Styela clava: one gene and its partner. Each later gene encodes a partner of the first gene's protein in a complex. Links are inferred from orthologs where the notes say so. Each region holds a gene or a part of one and is shown on either strand. Other genes may lie near its edges.

What was found.
Region 2: protein bicaudal D homolog 1-like (region 1) and platelet-activating factor acetylhydrolase IB subunit beta-like share a complex: the UniProt entries of both Caenorhabditis elegans proteins name them as parts of the dynein-regulating complex. The link is inferred for Styela clava from reciprocal best matches to the Caenorhabditis elegans genes bicd-1 and lis-1.

Annotation. Positions count from the first base shown.
Region 1 is NC_135256.1:9,838,095-9,855,349, forward strand, and holds the start of protein bicaudal D homolog 1-like, read right to left. Parts: upstream 7,235-17,255; 5' UTR 6,807-7,234; coding exon 6,726-6,806; intron 4,976-6,725; coding exon 4,841-4,975; intron 3,317-4,840; coding exon 3,200-3,316; intron 2,666-3,199; coding exon 2,570-2,665; intron 1,977-2,569; coding exon 1,848-1,976; intron 494-1,847; coding exon 405-493; intron 1-404. Other genes in the region: uncharacterized protein LOC120328503, read right to left, coding at 10,863-10,942, 11,330-11,496, 11,797-12,624, 13,726-14,021. UniProt on the Caenorhabditis elegans protein: Part of a complex with dlc-1 and egal-1, which is recruited to the nuclear envelope by unc-83, where in turn, it recruits dynein to the nuclear surface and regulates nuclear migration in hypodermal precursor cells.
Region 2 is NC_135250.1:20,619,954-20,637,235, reverse strand, and holds the start of platelet-activating factor acetylhydrolase IB subunit beta-like, read right to left. Parts: upstream 6,975-17,282; 5' UTR 6,793-6,974; coding exon 6,761-6,792; intron 5,291-6,760; coding exon 5,212-5,290; intron 4,896-5,211; coding exon 4,821-4,895; intron 4,360-4,820; coding exon 4,153-4,359; intron 3,107-4,152; coding exon 3,010-3,106; intron 2,397-3,009; coding exon 2,325-2,396; intron 1-2,324. Other genes in the region: phosphatidylinositol-3,5-bisphosphate 3-phosphatase MTMR14-like, read left to right, coding at 15,742-17,282. UniProt on the Caenorhabditis elegans protein: Positively regulates the activity of the minus-end directed microtubule motor protein dynein. May enhance dynein-mediated microtubule sliding by targeting dynein to the microtubule plus end.

The DNA of each region.
Region 1 (17,255 bases):
ATAGAAATCCAAACAAGGTCGTTTGTGAACTTTTGCTTACATTCAATTCTGCCAAAAGAGAGATTGTAAACAAAGCATGTTATCAAAGGCCAAATTCAGTTATGTGTATATATTGCAGGCAACATCATTCCTTTCTAAACCCCACACATTATGGACATTTCGATAGGAGAGAGAGGAGTGTACTACACAATTTCCTTCCAAGATTTTTCATTCATTTGTTCAATGTTCATGCTGTAATGTTCCATTGTGCATCATTAAAATGCCATCGTATTTCAGAAAAGTGAATTTGGTCATCAATCCACAAATTATAGTATTTAAATAGTGAACAAAAAAGGTCTCGAGTAGTTTTGAAGATCTAAGAGAGAAATAGCAATAAGGCTTGAATTCCAACTTTTATTATCAACCTGTTTAAAAATTCTGCTTCTTCTTCAAGTCGCTTGATTTCATGTTGAAAACCTTCGTATTCCGCTTGTGATTGTCGCAATGCCGAAACCTAGAATAAAAATATTATAAATAAACGATTTTACTTCAACAATAATGGTCTTTTATCAAGCATGGCTGTAGTTGGATCGTGCCTCATCGGCACGATCCAACTACAGCCCATGCCCGATAGAATAATAATTTGGTGATAAAAAATTCAAAATGAGTATTTTACTTTTTAACTTCAACAGAAATAGTTCTTTATCAAGCATGGGCCGTAGCTGGATCGTGTCTCAATAGCACAATCCAAATACAGCCCATGCTTGGTAGGTTAATAATTTGAAAAAAAATTCCAATTGTGTAATGTATAATTGTTACTAATTAGATTGAAATAATTACGCCAACTACCTCATCAATTAGATAATTATGATCAATACGCCTATAATAAAGTTATCATAAATCCCACAAAATAAAAGGAAATTTTATGACAACGTAATTATGATAATAATACCATAGTGAGTATTGTGAGATAATAAGACTATATTAAATTGTTGGGCTTTACATGATATTTTCTACCTACATAAATCGAAAGTTTTCTAATGCTTATCAAAATATTACTGCCTTTAAATTGAATGTTTAACAATTTGACATTTAACTATAGCTATAAAATAATGCTACGAAGCAATATCAAATAGCAAGTGAAATACAACATTGTAAACTAACAAATTTCAAGTTTTAGCCTTGTATGCTAGATATATTTTGTTGCAGGGATTCCCAAACTGGAGTAGACTACATGTACTATCAGGGGTACAGAACTTTTCAGGGGGTACATTATAGAGTAAGTATAAGGATATTCTTTCCATAACTGCCTCCAACTATTTTTTCATATACTAATTGTAATAATTGAAAGACAGACTACAATAGCCTACCTTCTTAGAAAATCAAAGTAGAATTACAAACTACAAATAAAGTAACTAACAAGTCTTCTTTCGCAGTTCACATGATTATTTTGCCCAATCACAGGCCGCAGTACAATTTTGGGAGTTAAGAGCTTAGAGGTTTTTAACCCTTTTGGTGGAACGGAAAATCTAAGAAACATTCCGGAATCTCAATCTCTTATTGATTATGCAAGCTATCATAAAATACGTTAAAAAATGTGAAACAACAATTTGACATAGAACGGCCGACGGTCTTTCAAACACACCAGTAAAAACATACTTTATTATACCAGTGTATTCAATTATATTTGAGAAATATCTACTGGTATGTAAACTTGTGGAACCCTAGGGTGTCGTCGAACCTTGGTTGAAAACAACTGTCTACGATGTCAAACACAAAGACTTTAATTTGAATTAACCAGCAATAGTCATAACTTTCCTAACTCATCATATTATAGTAAAATCAATAAGAAGAGTGACAGCACGAACCTGTTTTTGTAAATTACAATTTTCCTCTTCAAGTTCAGTGTAATCATTCAATAACCTTGACTCTCGGACTCTTGTTTCCTTTAATTCTCTTTTAATTGCACTCTTCTGTTTCTCAAGCGTTTGATAAGACTGAAATGAAAATATCAGTCTTAAACATTTACAAAAAACTTCTGAGTTAGGATACAATTCCAGTTTGAGGTTCGAGGCATATAGTACTATACAAAATAAGAGAGCAATGCTCAAATACATGCACACGAGAGTTCAATGATGAAACCAATGAAACATGCGATTTACACATAAGTTCGTTATCTGATCATAAAAAAGATTCAAATTTAAATCGATAATTAATTCCTCCGCTGCAGTAATTAACGTCATTAACGGTAACGTTAAGACCACTAAGGCCATCCATTAGTACAGGTAAGGGTTTGGAATCCAAAACTTGCTTTGTAGAAAAGATTGGCGGACAAGATGGAGGTGGTTCAAGCATGATCATACAAAATTGTGCATGATGTGATACTTTTTTTTATTAAGTAACGTAAAATGGCAGAATTGAATCAGGGTGCCATGGTTTTGACACCTTACCTTTGGTAGAAAAATTCAAGAAAGTCTGACAATATTCAACTGCCAGTTTAATTTTACATAAAATGTCCATAGATGCGCATGCGCTATATATTTACTATTATAAGGATTATATTAAAGCTGTGAAGAGGAAAAATTCTCACCGTTGCAAGTTCACCGTTCGTTGCAGATAATCCATCAACTTCTGCTGACACATTCTTCAAGGTTTGTTTCGTTTGAATCAACTCAGATTCAAGATCCTATATAGTAAATCAATATCAATTTTAGAAGCTATTACAAAATTTTGACTTTTAAAAATACAAATATATATATATGATATATATTCATTTTATTTGTCTCAAAACGTAATGAGCATTTGTAAATTAACTATTTTTGTTTGCCTACTTTACATCAAGTTGTGTACAGGGACTGAAACCTATGGGCAGGGGGTATATTCACTTGACTAAAACAGACAGTCCCCGAACTCGTTATAGAACTAAAATAAGAAAAATTGGAATAAAATTATGGCCTAACCCTAACCTGGTACACACACTTCGAGAGTACCACAGAAAATATATATCACAGAGTCAAAAATGCAGGAATAAGCCATCATTATATTGGCAGTCTACGGTCTTTTATTTTTAAATCATTGTAGACCTAATAAAAACATTTACAGTACTGAGATGAACAATAAAACAATTGCTTGAGATGTGAATCCATAGTGGACAAGAACTCTAAGAACTAAAGACTAGTACTAAGAGTCAGTTATAACTTTTATAGTAAAGAATAAACACCTGTATTGTGGAAATCAGAGTTTCTTCTGTTTGTTCTTTTTGTTGTAATAATGTTTGTTCGCGAGTTTCGCCATCATGAAATACTCTTTTATTTTGATGTTGGCTGTTTTCAAGAGCCTAATAAAAAATAAATATCTATTCTATTGAATTATGAAGATCTATCATCATATTGTCAAATTTTCATTTAGCTGTTGACAATGTCAAAAGGATATCTGGTAAATTAGATACTTTGCCAGGGCCAAAACAAGAGAAACTCGATACGAATAAAATTAGAATATGACTAAGACCCCCATGGGATTAGAATATGACAAATAGTCCTTATTTCCCCCATAATGCAATTATTAATAGTTATAAGTTAGTAGTAGGCCTACTAGAAATATTTCATTCACCAGATACAGAGTTCCATATTTTCTACAGTATACTATGGCCACGGTGATTTGAAGTTTAAAATAACTGAATGAAGCTTTTAGATCAAATAGAATATTTTTAAAACAAGAAGTTAATATTTTTTAATCAAAATTATTTACAAAACTTCATTGCAATATATGATTTGTCCCCTTTTTACCCAATGTCATATTAAGCATTTAGGATAGAATAAGATTCCCATATTTATCCCAGGGGAGAGGAAATCTTGTGGGATTCGAACTTGTGAACCCACGCAGGGTAATCAGAGGTGCGGTAGCCTCTATTCCTAACACTTAGCATAATGCGCCACAACGCCATTTCATGAGAATTATTTAGAAACATTGGCAAGTTCAAAAATATGGATTTTAAAAGTTTATAGACTATCAAAAAATTATAAATAAACATTTGATTTGATTTAATAAATTTAGGGAAAAAGAAACGATGTATAGCTCAACTTCAGGAAATTGTTGATTTCAAATTACTTCAATACTCGGGTCACAGAGATCAAAATGTAATGGGGACTTGATACAAACTTAAATTTTGAGAGTAAGCTTAATTAAAAAATAGAATGCAGGACTTATTTATGCTACACAAATTTGCTGCACTTATATGCGACATAAATAAATACTGATTGAATGTTTTACATTCCTAAACTTCCAAATAAAAAATTCCATCATAAATACTGTCAAAAAGAAAGATACAGTATATCCTATATAAGTGAACCTGAAAATGCCTTCTGACAAACTTGAATGAATCTTTGAAGGTGTTACAAAAAGACTAAAAATGTCCCACTAGATAGTATACGGCCCAAACTAATAGTATAATTGAATTGCATTGATATATTCAATAGCGTTTAATACTACTTGATTAAAGGCATAAGTTGGAATTGGCTCAATCTGTAAGCTTCTGATTTTGATCAACAAAATTGACAACAAAATTAGGCCCATGTTATATTCAAAAATATTTGTAGAACAGACTTAAAATTTATATATATTCTTCATTTCATAATGTCAGAATTGGTATTGCAAAATAATTTCATAATGTAAAAATTGATAAAGCAAGTTCTAACAATGTTTCACTGCATAAAAACTATTTCTGAATTAAAAAAGTACAAAGCATAGTTTTAAAAACAGACAATTGATTCCTAACTCAAAAAGTTGAAAACGTAATTACTGTATTAGTATGTTTTTTCATTAATATAAAATTCAAAAGTAGTCTACTTATGATAGTTCATACCCGTTTGCTGAGTTCAAATTCATTCTTTGATGCATCAAGTTCTCTCTGAGTAGAATCTAACATAACCTCTAATTCATCGTATCTTTGTTGTAGTTTTTGCTTCTCATCGAGGACTTGTAATCCATATTCAGCCGCCTGAAATATTAAAAATAAGAATTCAAGCAAATAAAACTTAAAAATAAACAATACTCCAATACAGAGTTATCAATCTGTGGTTTCTTAATATGGCTTTATTTTAAAATATTACTTCACCGTAGTTATGTTCATATCTCAAGTTTTTATTTTGTGAATATTTGCTTCGCAAACCTTTAAAGTTCAATAAAGTTTTTTTTATCTGAAGCATATCTGATTAGGATTCGAAAACCATGGAGTAAGTGCAAGAGCCTAGCCCAGTATATCTTCACAGAAATGAACTAGTCAATTTTGAAAAAGCAGGATAGTGTGGCAATGGTAAACAGTACAATGTAAATACAGAAATGGAGTGTTGTGAAATTAAAATATTGTCAATGATATGTTAATAAAATCTGAAATTCTACGGTTATAGGGCTCCAGGAATGATGATGAGTTTATATATATTTCCTCGCAAAAAACATATACAAAACAAAAATAATGAACAACCACAAGATTGGGAAATCGGGGTAACTAGCAAAACCTGCAATAGGTTTAAAACACATAGTAATATTTGCGCCAGTTTGGCCGCATTGTACACACAAACATTTATTGAAAAAAAATATGAATAAACACGGTGGGTCACAATTCACGACTGTTTACTTTGAAGTGGATTGGACTGTGTTTGGGATTTGGGACACCAGCCACATTCGAAGCAAACCGACAATTTGATTGAGGTAAACAACTGCCAAGTAGTGTGTGAGGTGAAAACGGTGTCAGAGATAAAAGACTGTTTGTTTTATTGAATCAAATGTCGGGACATCTTCAGAACTTGGAATCGAAAAAATACTGGCAGTACGGCACACTATACAAATTGGGTGATATTGTCCCGTCCCAGAGAAACCCATTTTACAGATGATCAGACACCCCTCCTTTGGGAGACATCTGGACATTGTTGTCCCTCAATATCGGTAATAATACAGTGCAATAAAATTGCGCAAAATACTACAAAAAAATGCAATCTAATATCGTCATCATTGAATTTCTTGGAAAAAAATCAACCAATTTACCGAAATTTTTTTTACCGTATCATTCGAGAGTTTTTAGCAAAAAACGGCAATTTTGGTCATGTGACGGCCGCGATAAATTAAGATTATTATTGAGACAAGCATGGCGCGATATGAAGCATCTGACATGGTCCAGACGCCCCTCGTTTGTGAGATACATAGAGTGTTTGTTTTATCTAACCAAATGGAGGGAAATTCTTGGAATTTGGATAGTGTGCTGTACTGACTGGTGTAAGAGGTAGGTAATAGAGTTTAGTAAAAATGCCAGACCATTTATCGATACTTATTTCTTGGTGTGACAACTCGTCAGCATGATTCCTACAACAATGTCAAGTCATAGTTCGAAAGTGGTCTGTGATATTCGAATCATATTCTTCTGTTGTCCATCATTTCCACGTTTACCGTAGGATGTTAACTGTTTCTAATTTTTATATTTCATTTGTTTCCAAGTCTGCATATCCACTAACCATTAGATTAGAAATGTGGAATATGCAGATAGGCCTATGCGAATAATTTAAATACATATTCAAATTCTTGATCAAAAAACTAAATTATTCGGTTGGAATTGACTAATCAATAACGCAGGATGATGTAAAAATCCCGCAATTTTTTTTTCAATTCTTTGTACAGTTGCCAACAGTACAGCAGTACAGTTGATCAAACATAATACTGTACGGTAATCCCAGAATCAGATATAAAAATAAACCTACCTGAATTTTTTCTTGTTGTGCTTCTTCTAAATCATGTGTGAGTCTATCGATGATAAGTTGGACATCATCTGATAAATCCATGTTCTACTCGTTCATACAATACAGCAATATGCTACAAGAATAGCTGAGTACCGGTAGCATGTGCAGCTAAAACTGGGAAGCATTAATCCAGTAGCGGTACCGGTATTCGTTATTGAATTGTCTTGACTGGCGCAGTCGTCTTTCGAGAAGGCTAAAACCCAGTTGGATTGCGTGACGGTATCTCACATCTGAGAGGCATTTGCTGACAAATTTCGCGCTCAAAGGGGACAAAAATAGCGCCCAACTCGAACCCTATTTCCCAATAACACAGTAATACGGTAGTTTTCTTTGCAAAATCCCGTCTCCAAAAGATTCAGCGGCCAAAAGTATGAATCAAATTGATGATTTTGACGAGTCTGTAATAAGATATCCGGTTAAATCTGATTCAGTTAAAATTTCTTCGTTATGATGGAGACAGATCACAAAGGCTCGACTTGAATAATTAAATATAAGATTTGTTTTCAAAACATTATGAAGATTTATCGACTAACGCATTACCTATTTGTACTTTTATTTGAAAATGAGACGGCGAGGAGAACCACTAAAGTTGATACATTCACTGACTGCTCAAAACTGACTCGAATTTCAAAACACAGGAAGAGAGAGAGTTTAGGTTTAGGATTCACATATTTATCCCGGGCGGCGGAGGAAGCCGATTAGACGATTTAATCATCAGCGGCAAGGAGTCCATCAATTCTCTCGCATATAATTATCCCCCTCGAGATACCGCCATACCGCCGAGTATTCTTCGAGTATTTTTGCAACTGGGTTCTTGTATAAATATTGCAATTAAATCATTTTGTGTTTTGCCTTATCATCTTTAAGATATTCTGTCAGCTTATACTTTTTTCTTTAAAGTACATTAATTAAGCACAAGATATTTAAATATTTTAATTGTCTGTTAAATTTGCTTATTTTCCATTCAAAATAATTCTCACGTTCACTAGCACACTGCGTGTTTTTAACATCGGAGAACAGGCAGTGCGTGTTTAATATTCTGTTTTTGACGGTAATATTAGAACCTATGAAATTATACAATAGAAAATGTAGCAAGTCGTTTGGAAATATATCGCCAAATAATCTTTACAAAATGATGCAAATACTTTCAAGCTTTATGTTGTCCTGACCTATACAGACTGAATGGCTCAGAAAATGTGTACAATTTTCCTGTTTTTCGCTTTTATTCATGCCCAACACTATTATGTTGATGACGTGCATTACAATGCCTTTATTGTAGTCAGTTTCAGTCAAGATAAATAATTGTGCTATATCATGCCCGTGTTTTGAAATATAATTGCACAGGCATTTGTATGTTGAGTAGATTAGTTAATAGTAGGCTTACCATAAATCTGAAACAAAAAACCGGGACGGTGCGATTTGGCAAACATTCGGTCGATTGCCAGTCTTGATAATATTGGAACGTCTACCATGCCATTGCGGGTATATACGGCTGTAAATCTCTACTGATCATTGAATTAGAAAAAACACAAAAAATTAGTTTGTATTATTCATTTAGACCAAAAGTATTTGTCCGCAGATGGAACCTTTCTCAAAAATTCTTGTTTTGATTTTGTCATAAAACTGATAACAAGAGACATCACCATTAAATTTGCAGGTTACGGAGTGGTTTTATATTTTCTTCTGGCATTCTGCACCTGCTTTCGGACCAAAATTTTTTAACAATGGAAAATATCCTTTTAACAGATGTTCCGAAAAACAAAATCAACCAATTTGCTGCAAATTCGAAATGCTAATATTTCTGTTAAAAAAAACGTTAAACATCTCTGTCTACTTAATTTCAACCGGCAAAGTAAGTCAAATTGCATTTGAACCACGCTCAGATAAATATCTCTTTATCAGTATTCGTCGAAAAGTGCATCGCTATTCAAAACCTGATCAGCTAACCAATCATATCATTTATCAATTTTGCAGACCAAACACAAACAGTCCAGTTTATTTCACTCTTCAAATTTGTCCATATGTGTGGCCTGGCAGCATTGTAGGCTTCATCGTGCAGCTCTATATACGATAGACATTTCTTTTAAAAATCGCAAACATTCTTTTTAAATACAAATTTTTTCCCTGCAAATTTAGCTTCACCTCTGACAGAATATTTGCAACATCTACGGCAGGGGTCGGCAACCTTTTGTCGCCCGAGGGCCAAAATTAAGGGTTGCGAGTCATTGGCGGGCCGCACATATTTTTAGAAAGTTGAAACTGAACGGATGATACTTTTTATATTAAAAATCATGCAGTGATACATCTCTCGAATAGAATATAGATTTATTTCCTCATTGCATCTCAAAAAATTCCATTTGAATATTTTCAGCTTGAACCCTTTGCACTTAGCTTCAACTTTTCTGCGTTTTGTTGCCATTCGAGCTTGAAGTAAATCATCATTAAATTCAGAGGAGAACAGCGGAGCAATGCACCAACTCTCATTTATTTCTGGCTAAACGTGCAAAATCAGCGAATCCGCTTATCAGACAGCGGACATCAAAAATTCTAACTGTGTATATTTGTTAATGCAAATTTAGCCCCAAAAAAATTTGAAATTAATTTAGAGGTGCAGTCAAAACTTTGGTCATGAATAGCAGTGTGATAGGTAAATGTCGGCTGCCAACGACACAGAATCATCCTAATATTTGTTATCGCAAAATTGGTCAGTCGAGTCGATGCCTCAATGTTTTGTGCTTCCTGCTTTGGATATGATTGTTGACATCTGAATGTCCGCCATGACTAATAGAAAAACAAATCTGCAATGCGTACAGTGTACCTTTCCTCCTTTAGTTTGCTTCAAATAAGGAAAATCTTTCTTCAACTCATCAGAAAACTTGTACTTTCTTTTTGGCATTTCGACAACTTAACGACATTGCAGTTAACGCCAGAAAACGCATTAAAACATATGCTAATTGTGACATAACAATAGAGCGATTTCTCTCTCTGAACTAGCAAAGTGTGTCGCAAAACAGTGGTAAATGGGCTGTCACCGTTAAAAAAAAAATTTGTAATAATAATGAATTTGAATTTTTTACCCATGAAAACCGTGCTGACAAACCGGGACATTTGAGTCAACCGGCCGGGACAGCATGTCAAATCCGGGACTGTCCCGGCTAAACCGGGACGTATGGTAAGCCTAGTTAATAGTGGTAAATAACCAATCTTAAGGTTTTGTTTCTCGGTTTCAACTTTGTCATAAGTGTGCAAACAAACATGTCTGCTTATTCCAATAAGTTCGAATTTGAACTTCTTCTCAGTGTTTGCCAGTTTGCTATTTAGGTGTTTAGATTTGAACCATATTTATTTAATATTGTGTTTGTGTAGATTCTACACTACACTATATAGACTTTAGGGCACTCCCGAAGTATGTGCACCGAGATGGCGCACAACCTGAACCCTAACCTGGTAAACAAACTATGTTCAGGATGTGCGCCATCTTGGTGCAGTCAGATATTTTTGATCAGAGAATCATACATTGCTCAAAATAGGGATATTTTGAGATAAGTAAGCTGTAAAGAACTATGGTACAACCAAACACAACCTCTATAATCATTTCAAACCGAATAGGTTAAAAAGAATGAGAGAGAGAGATAATGATTTATATCATTAAAGTACACAGTGTGCTCTCACCTATCAAACTGAATCACCACTTCGAAGTAGCCTAGTTCAATCAGGCTTCGCGCAACGCTAAAAAAGGGGAAATCGCACAAATCGACCCAAGAAAAAAACTTTTTAAAGTTTGAACGCCACTGGCATCTGAACTCTCTTACACTGTATTTCCTATCCACATAAATAAATTCAATAATTCTGCTATCATCTGAGGTTATCCTAAAACTCTTCCGTTGCCATATAACTTACCCCAAATTCCCAACCAAACACTCGATATAAATAAAAATTCCTTTTTTTGCCAAAACGAAGTGCTATGAAAATGTGCATTAGTAGTTAGTACATCAAGTGCCAAAAACGATGACCCGTAATACTGACATAGATAAAACAAAAAGTTATAGGTTTTACTCTTCATAAAACAAAGTAATAGGTCAACCACATCAGACGAGATCAGTCTGGTTCGGCCTTTCCACAGCACGCCATTTTCGTAAGAAAACCTTTCTTTGGCTTCTTTGGGGAATCTTCGTCTCCTGGAAAAATATAAAACAAATGAAAGCATCTACCATGACGCTTGTCCCGCAAAATTAGTCGAAAAGTTACGTCTCGTCATTCTCAAACGTGCTTCTGTAACGTATTTTTATTACAGTAAACCAGTTCTATAGTTCAATGGACAATATTCATTTAAAAGTAACATGCTATTTGCATATTTTACTTCGCATATTATTGATGATAATACGTCATTTTGTGTGGAATTTGAGTCGATCAATAGAAATAATGGTCTCAATGAAGTGACATTTTGTAAAAAGTTATATTGAGCTCGTAAATATTAAACAAGGGTAATTTGTTGGTCCCGATAAAACTGAACTCATTATTCGTACAATTAGAATATCGGAAAAATTCAATCCAAAGGGATTTACCTATTTTTTCTTTTTTACTTGAAACTGATTGGTCGTCGCCATTTTGGAGATCAGGAGATGGTTTTTTATCCTTTCCATTTTTCTGTTCTTGTGTATCAGAATCTGGTTTTTGATCTTCGTTTTGTTGAGTTTGGGGTACTGGAGGAGCTTTGCTCTTTTTAGATTTTCTGAGATATTAATCAAAACTTTCATAAAACCAAATGCGAGATTCTGGCTATCCAATTGTTAGCAGAAAAAATAAATCTGGGTTTTATTTCTAAGAGGCATGGTTATTATCGCATTTACATATTAACTGGCTATGCTGTATATATATAAGCTTTGTATCAATTTTGTTCCTAGCAAAAGTAGCCTCTACCAGATCGCGTGAAATTATCCATGGGCGTATTTATTTATAATACGTTACGATTACCGCGAAAAATGTTTTAGCTCGACATAACAAAGGAAAATAGTCTGAATACTACACTTACTTCTTTTCCTTTTTGTCGCTCTTCTCCTGCTTCTTCGCCTCTTTCTTTTTCTTTTTTTCATCCTTTGTTTGTTTTTTGTCTTTTTTCTTACCAGGGTCTTGTTCTGTTAGTTGTTGACCCGCAGCATCGTTTGCCGTCAAGTCGGTATCTTTTCTCTCACCATCTGGCCTGTTTCCGTCACCAGGTTCCTCAATGATTTGAAGGTCAACTCGCATTTCTTCTTTCGGATTTTCTAATTTATCAAAAACGTCATCAGGCGATTCGTCGTCTATCGGTTTGGTGATTTTAATCGGTTCAATGGGATCTTCAACTGTTTGTTGATCTTGTGTCGGTTCCGTTGCTTGAACTTCGATTCCATCTTGCGTTTCTTCGCCGGTCATGCAAACACCCGTTTCCGCAAAAGTAGCAGTTGTCGCCTCGATAGCTCCATCATCTGGATTGCTGGGTTTGTCTTCAACTTCGCACAACTCTCCAATTGCCAATGCATTGAAGGCACGGATATGTTTTGTATCAGGCGCTTTGCTGGGAACAACTTCTTCTTCTGGCGCCCGATGCAACGTCGTATAATAACTGAGTTTGGTTGGCGTTAAGGGGTGAGCTTCAAAATGTGGATAACTAGATGTATCAAAGACAATTTCCTCTTGTTTATCTGGAGAACTTCCTTCTGCTACTCGCCAGGTCGTTACAACGCCCGGTTCGGATTTTCCAGTTGCTATGTCATTAAGAGGATCTTCACTTAAGTGAAAACAGTAATTTTTACCGTTGTTATTTTCCCAATACTCTTTTCCTTCCAATGAGCCCGATAATGCAAATTCAACGTTGACTGGCCTGAAATAAGAGATGGAAAATAATTTTCATAAACACAAAAGAATTTAGGCTGCATCGGTTAGGTGAAAGCAAAACTAAAGACTTACTATACTTGTGCATGAAGAAATTAAGCTAATATGTTGGAATACTATATTTAGTTATAACATCATAACATTGTAAATACGATTACGCTATCTTGACTGCTGATTTAGTTTTATAACATTTCTTTGATGTAGATTGTTCAGATTGACATGAGCTTTGAACTACTAGAACGACCTCATAAATTCTTAATCTTGATGTGACAAATCTATATGCATACACAACTATTATGTAGCTTCCATTAGATACATATATTTTATTGCTTGGTGTTGAGAGAGACATTTAAATGTTAAAATAAAAAGGCACATAAGTACCATGTGTTTTCAAAGTCAAACGAGAAAACTGACGACATTTTCATCTTTTTATAACAGATACTGCTTTATCACCCGATGGCGTTATAATCCATTTTTTCTAAATTTCCATTTCGCCTTCAGTGTTAATAAATACATATATAAACTTCCGACGAAACGTAAAAGGGTAGAAATGCCATTATCTTTGTCAAAAAAAAACACTGACATTAGTTTAGGTATTTGGATAATCGATATACTGTATATTGAAGTTATAACAGCTCGAGGTATATTATAGACATCACTGCATATAAAAATACAATGAGAACGAGAGAAAAACCGGCTAAAGGCAAGCTTAATACTACATGGCCCACCACAAAGCTACCAGCTTCAGAGCTATATATAGCCACACTACAGCCAGAAATATGCGACACTGCAACATATATGAACAACTTTTGTTGAGGTTTGGAGATTGATTGCCGAGAAAATCCACGAATCACATATAAGCGGCTGAACATAATAAGGATGTGTGTCGGATTACTTTTAGAACCCTAATTGAGCATACAAACCGGAACCAGAACTTTTATTTGGACTCGAAGAATGTTCAATGTTAAATTGATGCTATGAATTATGTAGTAATTGTCATAGCAACATGAGTCTGTTTTACAAAACAATAGTGGTATCGAAGCTAATAGGTTAAATATTTATCTGCATTTATATCAAATTTCATTCTTACGTTTTATCACGACGAGTGAATCCAAAGGCGAAGATGTCACCTGTACCGTCTGGACTACTTTCTATATATGATCCACTGTAGTCTCGAAATGAGGCCCAATTGTTGAATGTAACACGAGCAAATACGAATTTTTCAAATCCTACATTTGCTACACGGATCTTGCCAATGATAGCCATAACGTATTGTCCATGTCGCGACTCATCTTGAACGGTCAGTTCGACAAGTGAAAGCTTGTTTAGCTGTAAACGGCGTTCCTGCTCGTCTTCACCTACTTCGATGAGGGCTTTCCTATTCATTCTGTACGACCAAATTATAAGCGCTGTTGTGAAAAATTACCGAGACCTCAGCACACGCATAACTCACACTGGCGACCTCCCGGGAGCAGTGTGATTAGAGAAAATAGGCTACGAACAAACTAATCTCTATTGTGCTAATTAGGTTCGGGCATTATACCTGCGAAAACAACAAAATAAACAATTTGTTTTGAAATGCAATTTATTTTGAGTAATGGATTCAAGTCAAGCACAATCCCTGAAGTCTATTTGAGGAATCGATAAGCACACAAAATTATTCTAATTAGAAGACAATAGCAGAGATTGCTTTTAAATCCCTGGCATATGACATTTCCTACTGCTATATTCAAGATCGTAACGCTGATGGATGTCAGAACTTTCCATTAGTTTATTGGCGCCACAACCTTAGTTTGATGATCTAATTAATATATTTTTCCCAAAATAAATCGTTTCAATTACCGTTAGAATAAATTTGGCCGATCAGGAATTTATGTATACATAATTTTTAAGACGTTACTTAATCGAAAGAAATCAAAATTCCACAACGTACTGGGGAAACGTGCTTTAAATTAATTGATCAAATCGATGTGTTTTAGTATTAGTTGTGCTTTACACTTTGTTCACAAACAATAGAGTACATTTTTGCCAAACCATATTCTGAAAGGTCTGAGAGGAAAGTAATTAAGCGCGTACAATATGCAGTTGTATATTTTGTTTTTATAATGTCCTATGATTAATAAAACTTGCAACAATAAAATAACATAAATAGTGAATTTGGAGCAAAAATATTTTTGCGTGAAATGTTTATTCTAAGCCACATATAACTAAATAACACCGATTTAAATCTTAAATTTATATTTTTAATTTTTCTTTTGTAAAGGGCTTTTTTCTCATTAACCGAAAACAGCGATCAAAGATAATATAGCGGGCGACTTCGAACCATTTACTATGCCATCATAATATGACTTAAATGGCAGCATTGAATATGACGTAAAAATTACATTTTAATATTACTGTATTTCGAAGTAAAATTCAAATTCCGAGAGGCATTGATCTTAAACATAAAATTGTGACTTTGATAGCTGGCTATACAATTGCTGGCTATTCGTTAATATTATATTTATAGGATAATCAAAAAAACATAGACATTCCTGAAGTGGGCTGTTACAATAGTTTTATATCACGTATTTCTGTAGCGACACTGACAGAATTATTGGCGTTTATGCAACTGCAATACCAGACCACCAGATTCAACGTTTTTTTTGTCTGAGACTTAAAATCCACAATAATAAGCATTGACTACTGAAGAATATGTCTAATTTTCCTATATTTCTGATGTACGTACCTAAGCTACTGTATATATTCAAATCGTGTAAGGCCATCTTAAAAACCAATATGCACGCGGTCGTCATTTATAACTAAAAAAAATTCCATACGTCAAAATTTTACAGCTTACCTATTACCACAATGTATATGTCAGGTAACTAACAAACTATCGCCAGTGATCGAAATATTATTAAAAATCATCACTTAGCATGCAAAATCGACTAAATAAAACACGCATATGTTTATGTAGTCTACTATAGGCTAATGATAAATGCTATTGATTTTCCATCAATCACAGTGCAAAAAATAGCAATTAAACTGGGCGTAATGACTTAAATGTATTATCATAATGAAGTAGTAATAGATAGTGGACAATTTTGAATATTTTTGCAACTTGTTGTCAGATTCATATCACAGGCAGTTTCACCATCTTGGCTCAGATATTTTTCGATAACACTGAGGTATTTCCAAAATATACAGAGTATATATATGCCTGGCTTTAATACAAACGTTCATATAGTGAGCAGCATGCCAAGTTTTTATGCGCTTACTTAACAATCAATTGCTTCCTGTTATTTAAGAATTTGGAGAAAGTGTCATTTTGTATTCTTGATCTTGATGCTATGAAAAAGAAGCTTTTCTCATCGACTACTGTCCCAATCGCTTTGAATTTTTGGGTGGTCAAAGATTGTATTTTTCGCTAGAAGACTATCACCTTTATATATTTAAAATATTTCTGCGAATTCGTTCTTTCGTGTGCGGTGACGTTATTAAAATGAAAAAATGCGCACCTTGTAGCGGTACCGCATTCGCGATTCGGTGATCAGGCGAAGTCGTAAAGGTTGCGGTGCCGGTAGTCTACCGGGATACCCGTAGTAATAACGAATATTACGAGATGCTTCTACTAACCGAATAACAGTAAACATACATAATTCAAGAATAATACAAAGATCAATACAATTTGTATTATTATTTATATACAACGCTTTTTCATTGCATACATTTCGTGTCGCATCTGCATAAAGAACACAAAAAAGCACTAACCGTCTAACCTGGAACCCAAACTATCATTAGTACAGTCCGTAAAAATGTCAGAAACGAAGTTGAAGCGACTATATATTTAATTTTGGAGTGTTATGAAAATCTCGAAGGAACAGTCCGTTTAGTGCAGAAAAACTGAACATTTAGTCTGCTGCGGTCAGTTCGTAGACTCTACGTGACCCGAGAAAAGTTTACAGAAAATCAAGAACTCAACTCACTATATCGTTTTACCTGACAAATGAACTGCGTATCAATCGTTTTATCGAAATGACATGAGTTTAGTACATATATACAAGCATTATACCCGGGAAAATCGCTCTTCAGAAGCTCATTATATCTACCAGTAATGCCAGATTTGATAATTCACACAAACTGACTTCTGACAGTTAAATCGATTCCAAAAAACGTAAGTAAAAATAGCAGATATTGCATAGTAAGTACTTTGTTCCGTCGCAGTCCCTATATTTTTGAATTCTCTTATACCAAGTATATTTTTCTTTTGGTCGTTGAACGCCCTTTCCAGTCTAAACAAATATCATTGCCATTCCGATCTCTTTTTCGTCTCGCAACTTCGATGCGTTTTACCAACGTACGCACACTCTTCCTAAGTTTGCATTTGAAATATCGTCTCCCTTGGGACAGAAGTGCATTCATATTTATTGAAGAATTTCGCGCAGCTGCTTGTGGGCCTTGCGGGGTCGTTCAACTATCCTACAGCAGATGACAACGCCTGATAAATAAGACGCACAACATTACTTTACTACGCAGTTAACGAATACTTATTCATTTATAAATAACCAAGTATTACCCACGGATGGATCGTGCTTCAACGTTGAGGTCCATACTTCTCCGTACCTGAGAATCTAGTGT
Region 2 (17,282 bases), on another chromosome or scaffold:
ATGAAATTCAAGTCAATATATAACAATTCTAGAAAATCACCTAACTGAATTGTTTCGATTAAAAAAAACAAAAATATTTATTCAGGATATTTATTGAGTTGAATTTTATATATCATATTTTATATCATAAACTGCACTGTAATTTGAATTAGTTTCTGATCTACCCACAACTCAGAAAGAATATAAAAGCTTGAAGGTTGTCTTGTATCCATATAATACAAGGTTTTCCATTTGTTTATATAATATTATAATATAATCGAAATAAATTTACTTTCATATTATCATTCATAATAAGCACAAAAACCATTGCTACAATAATATTTTAATTCGAAAAGGCACAATGCTATCCATTATCGAATATACACAAACAAAAGGATTGAAAGCCCTTACTTCCAAAGCAAACTAATGGTCTAACAAGGTCAAAAAGGTTACTCTTATCTAGGAAAGACAATATTTCAATGACATCCAAGTTACTTGGCTTATTTATGCACAGGTTCTGATGATTAAAATACAAATACTAGAACCTGTGGACATGTTTATATCCAAATAGTTCAGTACTTTGAAGAGCTATATATAGCCCACGGTGACCGTACATTTGAACCCATGTGTATATCCGTGGGTTCAATCTATATGCGGGTGCTAAAACCCGTGGGTTAGGGTTAGTTTGGGTTCAAATATTCGTAAAACAAAAAAAATCCATAGGTGCAATAGTATGCCGGTGCAATTGTCGTGGGTTCAAATGTAATGGAACCCTAGCCTGCTACATAAAAAACATAACATTTTTGTTAATAACTGCAGTGCAAAACCAATAAATTTTATATAAAATAGCAATTTCATCTGTAAGAATTAATGGAAATTTTTTTGGTTTGTATTTTGTTTGAACTGAACTCCTTGGAATCCTCAGATAAACGTCAATTTTTACTTTTTAAACAATATAACTTGTTCTTCTAGAAATCCACCATTTTTAAATGTTATAAATCACAAATTATGTTACCCAACAGTATTTTCCTGATTTGGTTTGGAAAAATTCATATGTTACCTAGAAATTTCCGTAAGAATTAAATACATAAATGTGAAGTGGAAATTCAGTGAAATCAGTCCATTTGAATTGGAAACTAAAATTATTTGCCTTACAATATTCCAGAGTACCTTATAATATTTTACATAAAATTTTAACGTTTTTATTATTCTGAATTGATCTTTCATGCACAGTAATTATGATTCGAAATTGATTTTTATATATTTTCATAATTTTATTAACAAAGTCTTAATTTGAAAAATAATTTTTAAATAGGAATTATTATGAAGATCCTAAACACTGATCTTGTTTCATGCAAACAATATTCCTAACGTTAGTTGCGTCACCTTTTATTCTTTATGCAAGAAACAACTCTTTTCACATAAATAATTTAAACTAACGGTGGGAGTGTTTTCAGCAGGCATATAGTGCAGGCAAATTCTACTATAGTCTATAACACTTTCAAATGGTATCTCTTTCAAACACCAATTCACGATGTAGGTATGCATATGATTATACATTTATTAAAGGTACTACGTGGAAAAAAGATTTTCAAAGTGTAAGCATAATTTGAAGAATATCGGGGCCGGCCAAGGCTCAAATATTGAAACTATTTATAAATCTTGGATATTGATTACATAATATAGTAGTAAGTCATGTTTGGAGGAGAAAAGAAGTGGAATATATATATGACTAGACATAAGTCTGACTGCATATCTGATTTTAAATATACCATTTGCCAATTTCAATTCATGATACAATTGTTAAATTACAACACAGTATTAAAGCATTTTGTACGCCCCCTTTAATTTGAGACTATATTGTGAAAATTTCTCACAGAACAGATTAAGAGAAATCTTATTACTGACCCAAATCCGCAGTCAGTTCTGAAAATTAGTAAATCTCACTTCTCGCATTGATTCATAAATTGATTGATGTCAGTCATCAAATAATACATCAGTCGCATTGACATTATTTTATTCATGAATATTAACTGAAAGCAAGTGGCATCTAATGTATTTCTTTACGAATCTTTAATTTGGGATATTATACTAAATGTAAGAATATAATATGGTCTTTTAAAAACAGTACATAGTTTTTTTCAATGCGGCGTTTTGCGAAAAGGATTTTCGGACTTTGCCCAACTCCGTGTGTGAACTGTAACAACTTCAAATGACTTCAACTTTATAACCAATATTCAACCAAATCCTAAATGTATTTGAATACATAATTAGTTTCAAATATATCACATCATGATAGTATCTAAAAAAACTGAAAAATTTATTAACTTCCACTGATGTCTTACCATGTAAAGTTTTTGTACATTCATAAGCGTCAAAGTCCCAAATCTTGATTGTCATATCAGCAGAGCAAGATGCTAAAATACAAACAAAATGATTTGTATCAAGGTAATTTGTATTATAAGGAAGGCATGAATTTAAAAGGATGTATGTACATAAGCCAAATTTAAAAAAAAATAAAGGATTTGAAATTGCTAGTATTATAAAGCGCTAATACTAATACATACATACAGAGGAATTCTGAAACAAATGTTAGGTAGACACACACGAAAAGTCACCTCAGTAAAAAAAATTAAATTTTAATGCTTGATGAATTTCTTTATATTCATTTATATTCAAATTTTGGAAAGTTGATATGACCAACGTACAAGAATTAAAGGCTGTCAACCTCTTTTGATGTGAAATGTGAGTATTCGAGCAAGGTGGAAATAGATTACTAAAAGTAAAATCTAGATACATTGAGTCCAAATGTTGGATACAAATGATATTCCAACAGATTGTATATTTCAATTTTGATACAGTCTGAACAACGCCAACTATTGCACTCAAATAAACGTGACAAACCACTCATAGGTTTTCTAAATTGTAAATGATGTGAAGAGCAGAGCAAACCATTGTGTAAACTGACCTACTGGGGGTAAGACGATCTTTGTTTTTGGTGAATCAAGTCATATCAAAATTGATACTAACCTAAAAGTTTTCCTGAACTGTCAAAACTAACATCTTGAACAGAATCTGTGTGTCCTTTCAATGTTTTTTCAAAATCACCGTTTTCATAATCCCATACCTGAATAAATATAATCAAAAATTCAAATGAGATTGCAATAAAACTGATTGAAAATTAAGAAGGTCAACTTTACTTTTAGATTTTACTTTGATGGCATGTCAGGTGAAAATGTTGGGTTAAAAACCCATGCCCACCATCTCACCCAGAGTGTAAAATTAGAAAAGCAATGCAAAAATGGAAAGATTCTGGTCCCTCAATCTATGGTAGCTCCTTACCTAGCACATAAGAATGTATATATGAGGAAATTCAGACATCTGTTGAAATGTTAGGTATGGTAATTATAAAAACTCCTACTGATTTTGCTTAGAGAAGAAATCTGATAGAAATTATGAGAATACTTTTTTGTGGATGAAATAAATGAATTCAAAGACAAATAGTATTTGCTAAATATAACCATGAAGACAAAAATTGGAACTAAGGATATCCGAAACAAATTGAATATATTTGAAATTAGTGAGATTCAATATAATAAATACATGCGTGAGCTTAATGAATGGTTAGAAAATACATATTTAAATTTTATTTTTATTTTAGGCATTTGACATTTGATGCTCAGACGTAAATAGACTTAAACCTCCCTTCACTGGAAAACCTTTATCAATGTGAGCAGTGCTTATTCTAAATATTCTGTATAGACTGTATTACCTAATTCAATTTCAATAAATTCACACATTTCTGTAAATTTGATTTCTGCAAATTTCTCTGTTGAACATGATCCAACAATAAAGAATATATTCAAAATTCAAGAATATTATTATATATATTATTTGGGATAATAAACTATTAGATTTTGCCATTCATGATAATTCACTTTCGTTATGATTATTAAACAAGAGAATCAACTACAAAAGTAGCAATAATTTAATAATGTGCTTTTGATTTGGTTTCTGCGGGACTAACTACTCATCCTTCTTCTATGCTCAGGTATGCATATAATACTTCCTCAGCACTTGGAACGAAACGTTACAGAAATATATCTGTGATAGTAAGCAGCAAGACTTAATCACTAGAAAAAATTAAACAAATATTGAAAACTTTTAGCTGACCTTTATTGTGGTGTCCTCAGAAGCAGATACAAATACTGAATACACAGGATGAAAAACTACTCTCGTAATCGGTGTTCGATGTCCGCTTAATGAGTGACGTTCCGGTGGTCGTGGTATCCATTCTGCCGGATCTTTTCTATCTCTTGGGACAATTCCATCTCTACTTTCATTTTTTAATTCATTCAATTTGGATTCCAAATCCATGACCTGAATATAAGAACATTTTAAAGATTAAGATATTAAAATAGAACTTGAAATTATACGGCAATGAAAAAATCTGCAACATCAACACAGTATGTGATTAAATGCGGCCACAATTGCTCATCATCAAAACTATAATGAGAATTCAAAAATATTAAACAATACTAGGGATATCCAAAGCAAGATCCAAATACCAGTAGATTCGAATTTAGGATTACCGGTGATAATATTGTTCTTTGAGATATGTTTCTTTTAAGTATTGGGCAATATTATTATTAAATTAACCAATCAACACTATTTTTATCTCTATCTTTCTGTATTTTAATGTCAAATTATATGAATAATGACTTGAAAACAGTGAACTCACTGTTGTGTGGAAGATCCTATCTGATATTCCATATTGAAAATTATTTTGCTAAATAGATTCTGAATCCTAAATCATTATTTTGGTCTTTCTTGATTATTACCTTTCTCTGTAAACGAACAACAGATGTCCATTTCTTTTCCATGAGTCCTTCATATTTCTTGTCAATATTTTCAGACTATAAAAAAAAAATAGCTCATGATTCAAAGGCCAACTAGCAATACCAAATCATAATGAGATGATCCACACTGGGACTAAGAAACAAACCTATACAATCAAACAACTAATTAGATAAGACTTATCAAGTTTTGTTTACCTTTTCCAGTTCCTCTGACCCATTGGTAGCAATATTCATTACTACATTACTGCAATACTATTACTTTAAATCCATGCACTGGGACTTCAAAATTCGAATGATCATGTGGAAAACTCATGTTATCAAGGATACTTTTTAATTATCTATATTATAAAATATTGAAAATAAGAAAACTTACCAAGTTGGCTTCCATTCGGAAGGCATTGAAGGCTTTATCATACCCATTTGATCGGAGATATTCTGATATGGCATTGTTTCTGAAAATATAATTATTTGTGTAATTGAAGCGAGAGTGAATGTATCGCACAAATGTCAGAATGTTACCACAGACAGAACGTAACAAGGATTAAAAATGTTACAGCCATTTTTATGCAAATTCAAGTTTATTTATTTTAGTAGATCATTAGATCTATTATTAGATCAAAATTACTATACTGGGATTTTAAGACTAAAACAGTTGAAACGTATCGAAGCAAGAAGTACAGAAGTATGTCAGATACCGTAAAACCGGCTAACTTCGGATGCCTTGTAACTTCGGATGAAATTTTCAATCATTCATATCTCAACTAAATTTCGTCGTATTGCGCTTCTGTCGGTTTCTATAGTAAGGCCTTACATATCTGAATCTGCCGTAGCCTCCAATCGCTCGATTTGATTTTTTATCATTCAAAAAATCATATTTTACCAAAAAAATGACACCGTTTTTTCAAGCGGCTCAAATCGTGACTTCTACAGACGCTACTTTCGTCAAATCACCGCCAAGCGCTAGAGAGCGTACACAATGTATACAAAAAAATACAGTGATCACAAGGTGTCGTACGAGATTCGAGTGAAATCGATTATTTTGATTTAAAAATTACATCAAAATATCGACGTTTTGATGATTACGTACAGCGTGACGTCAACGACGCAAATCCCTTTCTCTCTCTTCGTAGCCGACGTCACTTTGCGTAGCTCGTGCGTTACTCGCTGCGACATTTGAACGCCAGACATCGCGGCAGTTTTGTGAAATTTAAAAATTATGCTTATCCATGATCCTAGTCACTATATCCTACAAAAACATCACTATCGTCTCAGTCATATGTTGTTTATTTAAAAATATGGGTATGCATACGCTTAATGCATATGAAATTTGTCGATTTTTGTTTTTGCATACTTCCTCCGACACCGATAGATACCGTATGCAATAAATTAGGAGTAGTTAGTGAAATATATACGAGTTATAATAAAGGACACAAGAATAAATAGTTAAGTTTCGCGAAGCGGCAAGAGTAACGTCACGTACAAACGTCAGTATGCAACACGCAAGACGGGTCGTGGCGGCGTAAGGACTATTCAGCGACGTTGTCACGCGTCATTGCTTACGCAGACATTTCTCTCTCACGACGAGTTGACGCAAAGAGAAAAGTGGCCATCCGAAGTTAGATAATTTTAGAATAGACGAATAAAGACAATAATTTCAATGAAAAAAGGCTTTGATGGATATGGAACCGACTTTATCAAGACGAGAATAGCCACAATGTATTATATTCCAAATTTGGCTTAAGTTGAACAACATGCGGCGGAGATATTGTTCAAAATATAGTGAAATCATCCGAAGTTAGCCGGTTTTACGGTACTTCTTTAGCCAGTTGGGTCTGTAGGTTGAAGTCCTGGATCGGAATTAATCATTTGCAATTTTTTGCAGATTTACTCAGGTTATAGAACATGAAATTTCAAGAACTTACAGCTCATCTCGTTGTCTTGATGATAAAACCATTTTCACTGCATGCCGAAAGTTGTCTCGATACTGCAGTATTTTCTTACTTTACTGGCGATCTAACTTTACAGCTTTAAAAACTATCTTTGAATATTCAATTATGATCCATACGAATTATAATTTCTACAGAATTACAATTGCCTAAAGGAATAATAAAGCTTAATCTGCAAATTCAAAATGGCAGATTCTGAGATTATTTAGCAAAACTTTGAAAAAATGTAGCAGCTTAACGCAATAGCAAAGTTTTAGATATGCAAGTTGAATCGTTTGCTCCAAACTACCAACCGTTTTGTTCCAAACATATTACTATCCATGTATGGTTATGTAAGACATATTAATTAAAAATCAAATACGATTCACTTCCAGTTTTCACTAATCCTGTAATCCGATACATTTTACCCTTTAGCCATTCAATTCAACAACCCGTGGATATAAAGATATCACAACTTACTACATCGCAGACTGTTGGGCCAACAGACTGAGATGTGATAACAATTACCAGTCACTTTGATTGAGGATATTCTGACAGCAGTTAACCAAAACTGCAAAATTGTTATTCAATGACATAAAAATGTTACGGTACTGTGTTATGGTAATGACACCAAACTGCCATATAAACTATACCAAAAAATTTCGAGTATCCGCAGTAAATGCAGCTTCAGATTTTGGCTCACTCAGCAATCTGGCAATTGTCGGATTGTTGTCAACGTTATAAACCATACGACAGATTTGTGGTAAACTAAATTATCGTTAAATTCATCTTTTGATACTAAGGTGGCATTATTGAAAATTACTTTTAGCAGTGGATGTCCTCCAGTGGTACTAAACATAATACAGGGCGTGACTCAAGCTGTCGTTGCATTATCGCACAGATACCGTACCCCAGATTAAACCGAAACAAAGCAATCTTTCCAAAAATATAGTGAAAACGACAGTCAATGTGTCACGTGACAAGTCAATCTACACGCTTGATTAAACATGACAAGGGCAATGCCATCTTGATCGGATCATGGACAATGCATGTCATGCAACATTTGAGATCGGACATGCTTCATATTCATATCAAAACTTCTAGCGGTCTTCGTTTTGTCGGCACTCGGCAGGGCGGGCAGGCTACTGAGCCCGAAAGTTTATCAGGCTTAAATTCCTGGTCAAATTAGCCGCCTTGGCGCTGTTTAGTAAGGATTCAATAATAAAAATCCTGATGTTGTTTTATTACAAAAGAAAGTCAGCCATTAGCAGTAAATTCAGTGGTGAGATTCAGCCGGTTCGCACCAACTCAGAACCGGCTGAAAAATATGACTTTTGCGATGGAACCGGCTGACAAATAACTTAAATCCCACCACTGAGTAAATTGTATTGAGGACAAAAACATTCATTCTGGGGAGGGTATATAATTTGGAGGCTATATACATGCAGTTGAAATTACACTTCAATGCACATAATGAAATGTGAAAATGAGATGAATTTTTGATTTCAGATAGCGTTCAATACAGCACCCAGCACATGGACAACATTATTGGACACGTAGTGAACATAACGATCGTTTCAATATTATGTTGTTTATGTTCTTGTTGTTATTTGACACAGAATAACACACCTAGTGGAAATATTAAAAATCCGCTTTTCTCTTCGAATACTGGACCGATTGCTTTGAAATTTTCAGTGGTTGAAGATAAAATTTTTCCCCAGAAGGCTATTACTTTTATTCATTTTAAATATACCTGTTAGCTCTGTGAGATTTTGTTTTTGTTTTCTATGACGTCATTAAACGTTCTGCGTTCATCGGACGCCATTTTGTGTCCTACTGTACTGCTTCGCTTGGTGTGAATATATTTGTAGACTGTGATCTGACGGTACGCTAGTAACGGTACACCGTACTGTACTGCGAACAGACGTGTCCATATATTTGGGCGTAGCTCTCTTGTTTGAATTGTATTTCTCTTGAATTTTAAATATATTTCCCTCCGAAAGGAAAACCTGTGTCGTGAAATAAAACCCAAATTTTTAAGACGGATATCATATTTATGAACATTATTTGAAAGTATAAAATAGTGATTAAAGGCCCTTTTGAAGATCATCTTCATGTCGACGCATAGATTTTGCATTTTTTCATTGAATACATTTCCATCCTCTGCAAAGTTTCATGCTTACAGTAAACTTTCTCTGAAAACGATATGTAGCCCACCTTAAAACTTGATTTTGTAAAACTTACTTAACTGTAATGACGAATTTTGTCGCTGACCCTTACTAAGAATTTTATATTGCAGTCGTGGGTGAAACAAACTATAATAAGGAACCGATTTAAGCGTTTTGAAATTAAAAATGCGTCCCAGCCGTTTGCGATAAATTCTTGACCAGTGGGTTAGTATGGGAATTTTAGCCTAGATTATCATCAATCCTGACACCCACTTATTTTTATACTATCCACTTGTTCAATTTTTATTTCCTAAAAAGAGCTTGAAGCGTCAACATGTTTCTTTTGTAGACATAATTAATTACCTTTAGCTAGGTCGGACTGCTTGTTTACCTTTCATTCGTCGATTGACAGAGTTAAATAAAAGAAAAATAGAATAAAAATAAAACTGCGAAGAAAGGACTCCTGATTCGGGCTGAAATGTTTGAGCCAGTACTTATGCGATAGAAAGAAAAATCTATTATCTTTGACTTGTTATTTACGAATCACCACCATGCATATTGCACTGCTGATACAAGATCTGAAAAAAGCCGCAGCGATCCGTTTTGTGTTTTCAAGTGTATGAGTGACTCGAATTATCAAGAAAACTATACTGTAGTGTATCTGAATTTACAGGTGTACATTGGTTCAAGGCGCTCACTACTGGTATACAATAGCGTGCTGATCAATTCAGTTCAGATGAAACATGAAAGTTTGTTTTTGTAAAAAGTGTACCACATGAAGTGGACACAGAAGCTCAAGATTGGATAGAATCTTATAAACCTCAATGGGTAGAATTCGACTAGCTGATAAACTCGGTGCCTTTAGTGCGGTGGTGTTCAATTGAGATATTTCGATGCTAATAAAACGGGAGTATTCTCCACTCATTTTGGCAAAGATGGACAAAAAGATACATCAAGCTAGGTTGATAAAAAAAATTTCAAGATATTTATTTTGCCATTTTAAGGGACATACAATGGGACTGGAACCACAATCCGTATATTTACCTGGTTTCGCAGAAAGTCGTAGAAAGATGGTGCCAGGACAAAAGCTTTGGACGCTTGGTTGTCAATCAACCCTTTTTCCCCAGTTCAATACTTCAGAAAGTACACAAAACAGATATTATCACGTTCTAACCCAAATCCCATTTTTCGAATTTTAGAAACGTACACTACCAAAATGCGGACGATGAGATAGGATATAAGCAGTGGTGGGATTCAATTTTTTTGTCAGCCGTTCCCTCTCAAATATCATATTTTTCAGAACAAACAGAACATTGACAGTAACCAGTAATGCTAACCGGTTCGCTGATCTCATAAAATTCCGTGAGGCGGTTCTAAGAACTGGTGCGTGCCAACTGAATCCCACCACTGGATATAAGTTGAATTATATTTCGCCCAAGAAACAAAATCAGACCGCAATCGTGCCACTAGTGTTGCAAACCGCCCTTTATTTCAACGGATAATTAAATCGCGTGACAGCGTAACTTTTATGGAAACAATATCTATAAGCGTGGAATTAATAGCACAAACCTCTGTAGTCTATATGGAATTTAACAAAATTATTTACAATGATTTGTTTGTGTTATATGATATGGACCACGATGGGGACTTTCTATGTTAGCCAAGTGAATATACCCCTTCCCATAGGTTTCAAAAGACGAACAAAATTAGTTACCTCCATATTGGTACACACACTTCTGGAGCGCCAATAAACGAATTAAATTGAATTAAAGTCAGGGACGTCGCAGCATGGTAGTAGGCTAGGTGTGGGCCACACTCGACCACAGAAATTATAATTGGGATAAAACATACTAGTCGGCGTGAAACTTTTATTGCGTTCGGTTGGCAAAAACAGGCATCTTCACCGTCATTTTGTGTGACGCTATTCTGGGTCAGTCAATTTATCAGTAGTGTTTCAATAATTGTACATTTATTTATTCAAGTTTTTTTTTACCAGGTTAAGTCTGTCAGTTGCATGCTAAGAAATCAAGTTCCCGCAATTAACTAGTAAAGTAAGTCGCAAATCAGTGGTAAATCGGTTGCCTACCGTGTTTCCCCAAAATAAGACTGGGTCTTAAATTCACTTTTTTTTTTAAATAACACTAAGGCTTATTTTCGGGGGATGTCTTATATTTGCATTCATCAAAAACGAAATTACAAAGTAGAATTACGAGATTTTCATATATACAAAATATGGAAACCGATATTCCTTTACTTATAAATAAAACGTTTTTATTCAAAATAACTGCAAAACATCGATTATTATCAATCATTCAGTTTAAAACGCGTAGAAGAGATATCGACTAGGTCAAAAAAAAAATTCGCGTTATTCACTAGGTCTTATTTTACGGGGAGGACGGTATGTTAGTCGTTGGGGAGGACTTATATTAAAATCATTTTCAAAATTCAGGCTAGGTCTTATTTTCAGGGTAGGTCTTATTTTCGGAGAAACACGGTGCATTGAATAAAAAGAAATTTTTACGACTGGTCCATTGGACGTGACAATGGGATAGCTCGCCAGAAACAGTACTGTCCCGGCTAAACCGGGACGTATGGTAAGCTTAACAAGTAAATGAGCCAAAATTTCGGGATCGTGATTATCCGGGATCTTTGCCCCACTTGCATGTTTTGGTAGGATCGCAAGGTTTTCCTTTCTCAATTTTATATATTATGGCAATTGCTATACTATATCTTACTAAGCAAAAATATATTTAGTCAACATTAATTCAGTTTTATCGCTAATGTAACCTTTACGCCTTTCATGAAAGAAAAAAACATTCCAACGACCTTTGACCAAATCTGTCGGAAGGTTTCGTTATATTTCGGTTGTATTAGTTGATGCAATCGCTATGTATTGCTGTTTGGGATCTCCCCTCGATATGACGTTCCAAACGCGGAAGTCGAATGGGTTGACCGGCTGACTAGCTTTAGCAGCTTGCGGTTGTCGATTGCGAAGTGGGTTTAGTGAATCTTTCATTTCTGACTATCAGCGGGACCGTATCAACAGACGACAACTATTACAGAAAGCAATAAGTTACCGCGTTTTATTGCACGCGAATGAACATATACAGATGTACGGTACGGTAACTATGATATACCGGTAGGCCTAGTTGCATCAGTGCATAGTCTGATACCGGTACGTAGTCCTTTAGTCCCGGAAGTCGAATGACTGAATGGCTACCGTACCGGTACCGTACGGCTAGCTTTATCTCAATGGTAAAGAAGGACCAGATGAGTCTTATTTCAGTATTCTGGTATTTCAGTACCCTATTTGTTACCGTAAAAGTGGCTACTTCGGACAGTTCCAAACTTCGGACAATAATTTTAAACGGCCATAGGGTGGTGTAGCCAGTCTGCGGACGATTTCATTCAAACCGCTATAAAACAAAAACCAATATTTCTAACCCGTTTATTTTTTCACCGTAGGTGCATGGGCATTTCTTCTACATGCTAAACCTCGAATTAACTTTCTACGACCAGGGGTTAAAGCTATACAAACCACCAAAGTGCGACACTCTAAAGACGTATTTGCGACCGAACGACCAGTGTGCAACCACGGATTTCAAGCCTTGAACATCATTTCTGCTGCGTGAGACTAGGGCATACGCAGCCATGCGTAAAAAAAATTAGCTTCTAATTGCATTTCTGACTGTCCTATATTTTAAGAACAAGGTTATTTCGAACAAAACTCGTCAAATTATAAACAAAGCACCGCATTACAGCAATCCAACAAACAAAAACGCGGTGGTCGCAAATTGGTCGACAATGCTATTATCGACGTATTGGAAATGCGCACCCCCCTACTCCCCATCCTTTAAATGTAGAAACGCGAAACTTTAAAGATGGTTAAAAGAAACAGAACTCTACCCACCCGCCAAGTTTCAACTTTTTATCTCTCATATTTGTATGGATTTTCAAGCTTTTTCAAAGGGACAATGGGCAGTTGGCGACAAGGAAAAATGGTCCGTTTTTTTTCTTCGGTCGGGTTTTCGGTCGTAACTTTTTTGTTTGTCGCCGCATTTTAGTGTAATTTCGCAGAGCTACGAAGGATAAGTGGACGAGAACGCGTGAGAAATATCGTCTCGGTTCGTTAATTTTTTCGGCCTTAATTTAATCGATGAAGTTGATGGTCGCAAGTAGGTCTTGGCCGCAAAGTGGGTAAGCCACCCTATACCAGTATACCCTAGGATAGGATTAACATATTTATCTCGGGGGAAAGGAAAGCATGGACTCGGTCTTACTACTTACGTACAGAGCACAGCGCAGAAGAGAGGGAAACATTTTTGTTTTATTAGCGTCCGTGAAATTTTAAACAATTTGATGGGAAACAGAAAACAGTAGTACTGTAGTAGGGAATGATAACGAGTTTATATCAGTAATCTTCAACATCTTTAAATAACCTGACGTGACACAATATGAGCACACCAATGAGCAAAATCAAAAAAATTTTGGAACTCCAGAAGTATGTGCACCAAGATGGCGCACAGCCTGAGCACAGTAGGTATGTGTGCCAGGTTAGGGTGCGTCATGTTGGGTTATTTAAAGATGTTGAAGATAACTGATATAAACTTGTGATCATTCCTTACCACTGTATACTGTTTCCCATCAAATTGTTTAAAATTTCAGGGAAGCAAATAGTATAAATAAGGGAAGAAAAATGTTCCCCTCTCTTCTGCGCTCTATTAAGTAAGTACTGAAGTAGAAAGACCCGCATGGACTATTCCTGATGCAGTGATGCTTAGCATGATGAGCCACACCGTCACGCCAATTTTGACTAAGAAACGTCGTATATTGTCAATTTTAATTATCATTGGTAGCGCTGTTTTATACTGATATACATCTATTCTCAATTTTTTTAATGTTGCATGGGTATTTTTTTGGTAAAAAAACGGAAATTTTGCTGAAAAAAACCGCTCAATACAGTACCGGTATCTCAGCATCTCGTTTCTGTGTTTTATTGCATGCGAGCTAAAACAGAGAAACGCTGTGAGCCCCAGTGCACTCACAGCAGGGAAGGTCAGGTGAATGTCGAGACATCTTAAAATGGGAGGACTGTGATCTGCTGTCTAAATGTCTAGCCCATCTCTTCATGCATCCAACTTGACTTGGCGATTCTGATTGGACAATTTAACCTTAGGCTGTTAGGAGAATAGCCTATAATCCGCATGGCTGCATGGTGCTATCTTTCAATGATTATTTTTTCTTAACATTAGGAGACTAGCCTATAATCCAGATAATCAGCATGGTGCTATCTTTCAATGATCATTTTTCTTTACATGTCTTCACTCCTGTTTACTAATTTCAGAATTCTGTATTCAATTTGGCATTTCTCACAATTATTCATATGGTGTGGCAAAAAAATTACTATACAGCTGTATTTCTCTGTGGTTATAGACTATATATGTGTGTGTATATTAATTCAACACTTTAATGTGAGAGAATACGGACCACTTTTTTAGACGACATCTTTCAATCAAAAATCTGTTTGTGTTAAACCTTACTAAAGTTTTTGTTTGCGCTCCTGATGCTGTAATCTATTTATTTCTATCTATTTGTTTTATCAAATATTTTATCATCTGTTATGATGACTAAATGGTGTCGAATATATATATATATATAACAAAATTACTGATTTGAGCTTTGTCAAAATACAGACAAAATCATGGTAATACAGATTTGCCAATTAAAATTTGCAGACACAGCTGAGATTGCTAAATTTTGGTCCTTGTATTCCAGCCAATTTAGCACCAAACCCTATAAAACTGCTTCATATTAAAAACAACTTCAAATATGCCATTAATCTTCTGACCTTTGTTGGCACACAGTGTCGAATTGCATTCTAATTCCACCCTTAATTTACTTCAAACAAAACACACATGGGGCTGATAAGTGTGGGATTTACGTGCTAAGAGAATATGCTAACTATACCAACAGAGCTATAAAATGTTTAAGATTGTGTCCACTTGAAGAAATTATTTTGTTTCATGCCCATTCAAACCAGTGGTTTTCAACCTGTGGTACTCATTCTAGTGTGGTACGCGGGAGCTTTTTAAGTGGTACGCGAGCAGCTTTGAATTATTGCAACAATTAACTTTTGAGTTGGCTAAAATATGGCAAAAGCAATTTCTCTTAATCTTACCGTACATACTAAATGTATTCGCTGAACGGGTTTATAGGATTGGGTTACCAGGATGCTACTATTGCTACTTGATGTATGTGTTGGATGATCAGCATAATCTTGAGTTTTTGGGGTTAAATAAATTTTGAGACTAGGTTAGGCAGTTCGTGATAGCGGCTAGTGACGACCAAAGTGTATTCGTCCGAGTTTTGCCCTAATTCGATTCGTTTTGCAGTGATTAAAGCATTTCAGCTTTAACGGTTGATGACGCAATTTTGCACGCAATTAATACGTTGTTATTGCATTCAATAAATACTTCGAAACTTGCATGAAGGTCTGTAAAAAAGTGGTGGAGCCACATAAAATACTACCATAGCGTGTTTCTTGTGCCATTGTCCCCACCACAAATGGGGTTTTGTTGGTGGTACGCAGCCAGGTTAAGAAACTCGAAAGTGGTACGCGGCCAGTAAAAGGTTGAGAACCACTGATTTAAACCAATGACTCAATTTGCCCTGAGCTCACATGACAAAAAAACAGAACGACTTTGATTTGACTGAAGTTTTGTTACAGGTCTCCAATGACTCACTTTTACTGTTTCTCATTGACTGTTCTTCATTATTTTATGATACGTTAACCTCTCATATAGCCATGTGATGATAAAATTTCCCTTGTATATTGTTACTTCATTAAGGTATATGATGAACTGTATCTCTTGTTACCTCATCTTTCTTGCCTTAGTCATCTCACCAGAGATGTCAGGCAGTAGAATGAAGCATCATTTATATTATACTGTGTTTCAACTTGTTAAAGTTATTATTTACACAATGTTTTTAATTTACAGTTTGTGTAATACTAGTCTTGTCATGGCGGACAATGAAAGTCGGTTGATTCCTTTGTTATCATTTGCAATATCTGGTAGCAATGAAAATCTACCGGGAAATGGAGATATTGATATGTTGTCAAAAGCTTATGAAACTTGTCATGAACTTATGGAACGAGATTATACTTGTGAAGTTTTGAATAATCCTGATGGTCATTTGTGTAGCACATACCCTGAGAAAATTATCATTCCAGTTAAATCATCAGAAAAGGTTGGAAAGTTATCAGAATATGTACTGAAAGGACGTTTTGCAAGAACGAGGGGGAGGTTTGTTGTTCCTGTGCTTTTACTTGACGGAAAATATATTTGCCGATCTTCGACTCTTGCTAGGTCACCGGAAATATATTGTAGGCAAAGTTATGGGTATTGGGTAAAAGGAGAATCTATGGACATGGACACTGTTGAAAAAGGTGCAAATGAGGAAAAGGCTGTTATTGAAGAAAATCATTTTGAATGTTTGTCTGACAATGGCCTGTATACCAATGGTGTTAATAATGTCTCAGAAAGTCATTCTAATTCTCAAATAATTGATGATTCACCTTCGGAAGATGGTAAGAGCAAAGAATGGCTTCTTGATAAAATGAGAAATGCTGACATTCAGCTTCTTCGTTATCTCGACGTTGACACAATTTTTGATTTAATGGTTGAGAATAAGAAAGTTAAATTTGGTATGAATGTAACTTCTTCTGAAAAAGTTGACCGCCAACGAAGATACCTTCATTTCAATCTTTTAAGTGTGCCTTATCCTGGTTGTGAGTTTTTCGTTGAATACCGTAACCATAATTACTCCGGCGAAGGACTTATGTTTGACTGGAAACAGGATTTTGTGGATGCAAACCTACATATGCCTGATAACGTTCAATATTTATCGAATATTAATTGGCAAGAATATATCAATTGGGATTTAGTTCAATTAACTCAAAACTATCTGAAACTGCATCTGCATTCTCTGATAGGTGATAACTCAACGGGTATTTTGTTGCATTGCATTTCTGGATGGGATCGTACACCACTGTTTGTTTCTCTTGTGAGGCTTTCATTGTGGGCAGATGGCCTTGCCCACCAGTCTCTAAACGCTGAGGAAATGGCATACTTCACTGTAGCATACGACTGGCTGCTTTTCGGTCATCAATTTACTAGCAGGATTCCAAGTGGTGAAGAAATTTTTTATTTTTGTTTCGATTTTTTAAAATATGTTTCCAGCGAGGAGTATTCTATGGTGACACATTGCCAGAAGGTTACAGAAAGTCTGCCCGTAATGAATGGTAATAATCATCCAACTACTAATGGTAATCACGAAATGAAAAATCATAA